Xenopus tropicalis: one gene and its partner. The protein of the gene in region 2 interacts with the protein of the main gene of each other region in a pairwise test. Links are inferred from orthologs where the notes say so. Each region holds a gene or a part of one and is shown on either strand. Other genes may lie near its edges.

Evidence for each region. The genes of interacting proteins can lie anywhere in the genome.
Region 1: the proteins of c11orf68 (region 2) and eif4h interact in binary tests that used the Homo sapiens proteins (3 or more experiments, as listed by UniProt). The two-hybrid records come from large-scale screens. The link is inferred for Xenopus tropicalis from reciprocal best matches to the Homo sapiens genes C11orf68 and EIF4H.

Annotation. Positions count from the first base shown.
Region 1 is NC_030678.2:100,958,893-100,962,549, reverse strand, and holds part of eif4h (eukaryotic translation initiation factor 4H), read left to right. Parts: intron 1-1,133; coding exon 1,134-1,321; intron 1,322-2,836; coding exon 2,837-2,901; intron 2,902-3,029; coding exon 3,030-3,126; intron 3,127-3,657. UniProt on the Homo sapiens protein: Stimulates the RNA helicase activity of EIF4A in the translation initiation complex. Binds weakly mRNA.
Region 2 is NC_030680.2:38,500,012-38,503,768, reverse strand, and holds the start of c11orf68 (UPF0696 protein C11orf68 homolog), read left to right. Parts: upstream 1-1,499; 5' UTR 1,500-1,863; intron 1,864-3,757. Other genes in the region: drap1 (dr1-associated corepressor), read right to left, coding at 1,170-1,211.

The DNA.
Region 1 (3,657 bases), on a different chromosome or scaffold from region 2:
GATCATCTCCCACAAAATCCATTTTAGGCAGATTTTTATAACTGTAGTTATAAAACCGTGCCTGGTGCTTTGATAAGCCGCATGAATCCATATTGGAGGCAAAAACAATCCTGTTGGATTATGTTTAAATGTTTTTTTTTTTTTTTATGGGGACCTTTAGTCATCATGATGTGGAGAGCAGCGATGAGGGAATCTGTCATGTTTCGCTGAAATTCGGATGGATGACTTGAAACCTGGTGAAAAAAGTTTCTCTCATTACTTGTCGAGAATTGTTAAAGCAACGCTGTGTGTTTGGCTTTTTTTTTTTTTTTACTGGGCTTTAGGGCTGTGGCACACAGGGAGATTAGTCACCCGCAACAAATCTCCCTTGTCGTGGGCGACTAATCTCCCCAATATGGCATCCCACCGGCGAGAATGTAAATCGCCAATGGGATGATATACGCGGCACCGCGATCGCCGAAGTTGCCTTGAGAGGAAACTTCTGTGATTTTGGCACCGTGTATGCAATCCCACCGACGATTTACATTCTCGACGGTGGGATGGCATTTCGGGGAGATTAGTCGCCCACGACAGTGGAGATTTGTCGCGGACGACTAATCTCCCGTCTGTCATGGCCCTTAGGGGCTTTGGTGCAGATCGTCTACAATATGTACTAATGGAGTGGGGCTACTTCTGTACAAAATTAGATGATACTTTTTTTTTTTATCCTCAGTACTGACATGATTTTTAGGTTTTCATAGGATTGTGTCAGTATCATTTGAAAGACTTTCGGGATAATACCTTTTATTTCTGACTAACCTCGGCTTTTCTTATTACTCCTCGATTGCCTCCATTTTGTGTTCTTATCTTGTTATGGAAAGCTAGACATTGATAAGGGGCATGGCTAACCAAACATGGCATGAATTAAATGGTTACATATCAGGAATAACTGCTGGTGTTCTCTCAAACTGCACACACTCTCTTACACAGTATGTTTTGTGATTTATTCGTCAGGAATACTTAGGGTATAGTGACCTCTAATGCTTAAATTTTTTTATTTTTTTATAGAGTGCTTATGTTTATGTCTGTAATGTGGATTTTGTTAGATGGCTTAGTTTTTGGATGAAATGCTAATAAATGTTGTCTTTAAACAGACCAAGACGTGGAGAATCTGGGCCTGGATCTCGCAAACAGAAAGAGCTGCCCACGGAACCTCCATTTACAGCATATGTTGGAAATCTTCCATTCCATGTTGTACAAGGAGACATAGATAACATATTTAAAGATCTAAGTATACGGAGTGTGCGGCTAGTTCGAGACAAGGAGACCGACAAGTTCAAAGGTTGGAAACAAGTTACTGTGTTGTGTAATTGTTATCTTCATTTTTTTGTCAGCATATTTTCCTTGTGCTGCATATTCTGTATAAGGCTTATGGCACATTGTGTGGTGGAGAAGCACTTGTATCCAGCTATGCTACCTGCTAATGGATTTTGGAGCTTCTCCACTGGCTAAAAATTTATATATTATTGCTATTAACATTAAGCCTGTGTTTAGTGCAATATAGTAGTGGTCAGAACGCTTCTGTCACAGCTCACTCACTGTCAGTACGCACGCAGAGGGTGGTTGGGAGCAGAACTGGCTTTACTCTACTGGTGCTTGTATATGTACCCCTGGTCATGTTTGTATTGGTGTAAAAAGTCAGTTTTATTTTGTTTTGCCTTAGTAAGAGTTCTTATGTTAGTCCAAAGTAATAGGGCTAGACCACTAGGGAGACCTAAAGAGGCAGCTACATTGGTCCAGTCCAAAATGTCACCCTTGCCTTCTGGGATTTTTGGAGGCTTATTAATCAAAATGTGAAAAAAGAGCTCTAGTTTACTTATAAATATGCTTTGAAATCCTGGAAGAGAACAAAAATGTTGTGTTGTAAAGGGAGCGCTAACCCAAAACATCAAAACCTTGGATAAGGCAAAGGGATCTAAAAAAATGACCCAATGCAAACTTATGTCCCTTGGGCTTTTTTTTTTTTTTTTTTTTTTTTTTGTCTTGGTAGTAGTTTCTGAGATACAGGTATGAGATCTATTACCCAGAATGCTTGGGACCTGGGGCTTTAAGGATTAAAGGAGAAGAAAAGGTAAAAATCATTGGCGGTAGCCAAATGTTTGGCACCCCCCAGTGACTTCAATTGCTTACCTTTTACCCCGGGCTGGTGCTTGTGGTAGGAGAAAACCGCACCAACCCAGGGTACCTGCAGTGAGTGTTTTCTCTTCCTTCTAAATCCTGTGGCCTGCGCATGCGCAGTAAAGTGAAAAAGCCAACTTTGTTAAAGTTCGGCTTTTCGCTCTACTGCACAAACGCGCAAAGACTGAAGAAGGAAAAGGAGACACTTGCTCACATGTACCCCAGGATGGTGCTCTTTTCTTCTCACAGGAGCACCAGCCTGGGGTGTAAGGTAAGTCATTTTGGCGCCCCCCAGTGACTTAGCTTTTTTTTTTCCTTTCTATAATTTGGATTTATTATAATTTATACCTTTTTATAATTTATACCCTGTCTACCAAAAAATCATTTAAACGTTAATTTAACCCAGTAGGCTTGTTTTGCCTCCAATAAGGATTCATTATATCTTAGTCTGGGTCAAGTACAAGATTTTATATGTATATTTACAGAGCAAAACAATAATTTTATAAAAAATTGAATTTGATGCAAATTTAGTCTATAGAAGATGGCCTTTCCCTAACTTGGAGCTTTATGGATAACGCGTTTCCAGATAACAGATCTCATACTTCTACTATCTTAATATGCTGCTAATTGCTGCATTTTGTTTCTTGTCACAGTTATTAAACCTGAAATTTTCTTACAGGATTTTGTTATGTAGAATTTGATGATCTTGACTCGCTTAAAGAAGCCTTGACGTACGATGGTGCAGTAAGTTTGTTTTGCGCTTTCATTTGTGTTTGTATGCCAGTCCTTATCCAGACATCCATTTTACACCAAAAGATAAACTTGCCTGTAAAATTGGTCCAGTTTTCAACTGTATTTCCCCCTTTCAACAGATTTTTATTGACCGGGCTATTCGGGTAGACATAGCGGAAGGCAGAAAACAAGATAAAGGTGGCTTTGGATTCAAGAAAGGAGGACCTGATGAACGAGGTGATTTGGTTTTATTTCTTGGACTTCTCTCCCTTTTTAAGAAATACATCAGTCGGAAGTTTTTTTTTTTTAAATCCATTATGTTTTTAACCAGGCAATACCTGTTTAGTGTGCACTTATTGGTTATAAATCTGAATTAGGTTGATTCAATTAAAATACACATGGTGCTTTGGAATTTTAGGAGTCCTGCATTGCTATGTGTACAAATCAACTATTTGCCTGTACAATACAAGAGTGCTTCAGACTGGAATAAACTACTAGCAGATGCAGTTTGTTGCTACTACTTATAGTGTGGTCTGCTATAGGGATGCACCAAACCCAGGATTTGGTTCTGGATTCAGCCTTTTTCAGCAGGATTCTGATTCTGCCAAATCCTTAAAGTCACGTGACTTTGTCACACAAACATGGAGAACAGCACACGCTTATCTTTAACCCTTCCGTGGCCACCTTTGCATATGCTAATTAGGATTCGTATTTGGTTCAGTATTCAGCTGAATCTTTCACTAAGGAATCAGGCTTCGGCTGAATCCC
Region 2 (3,757 bases):
GAGAAGAAAGTATTGGTTAAGGCAGGGATCCCCAACCTTTCTTACTCATGAGCCACAGTCAAATGTAAAAAGACTTGGAGAGCAACACAAGCACCATAAAAGTTCATGGAGGAGCCAAATAAGGGCTTTGATTGGCTATTAGGGGCCTCTATGCAACCTATCAGCTTACAGTGGGCTTTATTTGGTAGTAAACCTTGTTTTTATTCAACCAAAACTTGCCCCCAAGTCAGGAATTCAAAAATAACTCCCTGGTTTGGGGGCACTGAGAGCAACTAATGTTAAGGTAATGAGGAAGGCCTACTTGTGCACTGGATGAATAGGATAGCAAGGTGTATGCGTGTCAAACATAAGAACAGTGGTCTTCCAATTGACCAGCCCCCCCCCCCCCCCTTTTAAGGCCCACCACCATTTTACCAGGACACCCCCAATAGGGCCAACTAATTGACCCCCCCCCCCTTTAGCCCCATCATTTGACCAGGGCCCCCCTTCCCCTTTAATTTCCACCATTTGACCTTACCTCCCCCCCCCCAATAAGGCCCAACACTTAACCAGGACCCCCTCATCTAAGGCCCACCACTTGGCCAGGATCCACCCCCACCTTAATTAAAGCCAAAAACTGCCCAGGTCCCTTATCTTCTCACCTTTAAGACCCACCATTTGGCTTGGACCCCCTTAGCCCATAACAAGATCACAGACTCTGTGTATTATCCATTCAGTCACAGCCATAAGAACAGTGTTCACCCCAAAACTTGCTTTAAATGACCTTCATGAAGGGAATTAAATAGTACCTTGGGCATTCTACCCAGCTATGTCCCCGGGTGGCTGCGGGTTGGCCCTGCCAAGGCACCGAACATCCTGGTCGAGGGGCAGATACTCCGTTAAGGAACCAGTGTATTGAACGTAAACAATATATGTTTATAGACTGTACAAAAGGCACTAGTGAGCAATAACAAGCTGCAGCGTGTGCGGATACAGTGTTATTGTTACAATGAGGCTGAATACTCTGCACAACGCTCCTACTGCCCATAACCATAGCGCTGGGCAGAGCAAAAAAGATGCCAAAATCCGGCGCAACGCAAAGGATCCAGAACCAGAGGGGGGTCCTTGCGGGAGATTTTCGGGGAGCCTGTACCAGGAAAGAGCGGTGCGAGAGGAGACCGCCGACTCACCGGGGGAAAACGAGCGTTGTATTTCTTTTTCTTGCTCGGCATCTTCAGCGAGGGAAAGGGCGGGGGAGCAGAACTCAGCTGAGGCCTCCAGAGAAGCGGCAATAGCCACAAGCAGCAGCGCCGGGAGACTGGCAGTGTTCGCGCCCAGCGATGTTCATTAAAGTTGAGCGAATTGAGGAGGAAACACACCCTGCCCCGCTGTGCTCACTGCGCTGCTTCGCGAACAATAAAGTTTATTGACGAGCGCTGCCACTTCAGTGTTGCTTTTGTAGCGAGCAGTTCATTGAGTTGTGTATAAACTAAAGTTGTGTCAGCTTGGCCGCATTGCAAAATGCTTCTGTAGCGGCACACTTTCCCGCTGTAACAAAACCCATGCGATTTTTGTTTTTCTCTGAACTCGGAAATATTGCTGTATTGTTTGGTTTGGATGATGCACATGCCACAATATAAGTAAAGTGCATGGACGGCCGACCCTGAGGTGCTGGGTTGAAGCCAGCCGCGCACTAATGTACAGTATACTGTATTTTTTCTTCAGTGTTAGTGGCTTCCTCTAGTTAATAAAGTTTTTTGAAAAAAATGGAAGCAACAAAACCCTCCCTGTCTAGCAACCCAACATGTCACTGTTTCCGCGGCAACGCGGCCTGGTACAGGAAGTGGGACGCTGCAGCGACGCGACTTCGAATCGCTTAATCTTGTAAGGAATGAGTACATTTCCAGTGATTGGAATAGGCTAGGTTACCTGTTTTCCTGGTCATCGCCTTCTTTTCCTCTAGGTGTACTCTGTAGCTTTCTAGGAGTTCTTGAAAATGGTTTCATATTTTCATGTATATACACACAGAGAATACATACTTTGATCATTTATGTAGTAGGTACATTTTAATATTTACATTTATTTTAATCATTCTGTGGATCTCCACGAACACATATGTATGAATGTGTCTGGATTTGAAGAGAATGAGAGAAAGAAATAATATATATATATATATATATATATATATATTACAAGCTATTCTTTCTCTCATTCTCTTCAAATCCAGACACATTCATACATATGTGTTCGTGGAGATCCACAGAATAACTAAAATAAATGTAAATATTAAAATGTACCTACTACATAAATGATCAAAGTATGTATTCTCTGTGTGTATATACATGAATAAATATATATATATATATATATATATATAAAATACATAGTGATATAATACATTCATACAAAGTTAAAAGAACAACAATACCAAAAAATGAAAGTGTAACAGAATACACTTGTATTTACAGAGCTAATTTGTTATTTGTAAACCTGTGCATTACTCCTTCCCATCTTTAATGGCTACCCATTGCTACACAGCAGTGTGTTTATATACACAATAATAACATTTCTGAAGCAAACACATCAGTTTTACTATATGACTATGAAGATTTTCATTCATCCAGGTCATGGTATATCAGGCATGGGACCTGTTATCCAGAATGCTCAAGACCTGGGATTTTCCGGATAAGGGATCTTTCTGTAATTTGGATCTCCATAATTTTCAAAAATTGGAATTATTTGTTTGTAATGGAGTCTATGGCAGATGGCCTTTCATTAATTTGGAACTTTCTGTATAATAAGTTTCCAGATAAGGGATCCCATACCTGTATAAATAAATCTAAAGCAACTTGACTTGCTAAGTAATCATTGAAGACGTTTCAATACTCATCCGAGCAGCTGTCTTCAATGATTACTTAGCAAGTCCAGTTGCTTTAGATTTACTTATACTAGATATCACTTTTATTAGTACAGGACAACAAATTATCATGTTTTAATTATTTTCAAACACGTTAATGCTCGTTGATGCGGTCCCCGATCCGACTGCCCCATTGCCGCTCACATAATCCGATCGTCTGGCCCCAGGGCCAAACGATCGGATTATTATTTTTTTTACCTAAATGGTCCCCGATATCGCCCACCCGTAGGTGGGGATATTGGGGGAAGATCCGCTCGCTTGGCGACATCGCCAAGCGAGCGGATCTGCTCGTGTATGGCCACCTTTAGGCTGGTGCTGGGAAGAAACCTCACTGGTCTGGGGAAGTTAGAATTGCATTGTTGTCTTTCTGGTTAATAAATGCAGCCACGCAGATAGGCAGCTGCTGGAATGGAGCAGTGAGCACAAAGAGCAGACAACCATCTCTCACATTTCCTGCTTGCATTTGCATGCCTAGATCTAATTGCACACATGCCAGGCTGCAGTCATTTCTTTCCCATTCCCTTATTCCCAGCATAAGGACAAATTTATTAAAATTTAAGATATTTGTTTTGCCTCAATGTGATAAAATGCTGATACACTTGATCTTAATTATCTTATTATATGCATTTTGAGATACATTTTTAAAAAATCGCTTGAAAAAATTTGCCTGATAAAACCCTGTTGAGCTTGGCTAGAAGTAATGGGAAGTGTTTTTTCAGGATTCAAGCTATTTTATTTTTTTTGCGATTTGTAAGTCAACCATAGACTCATTTAAAATGAACGGATCAATGCAAATATGCTAGCGATCCAGAAAAAAACTCTGATAAGCTGGCCCTGGTAAGGGCAAATTTTATTTAAGCA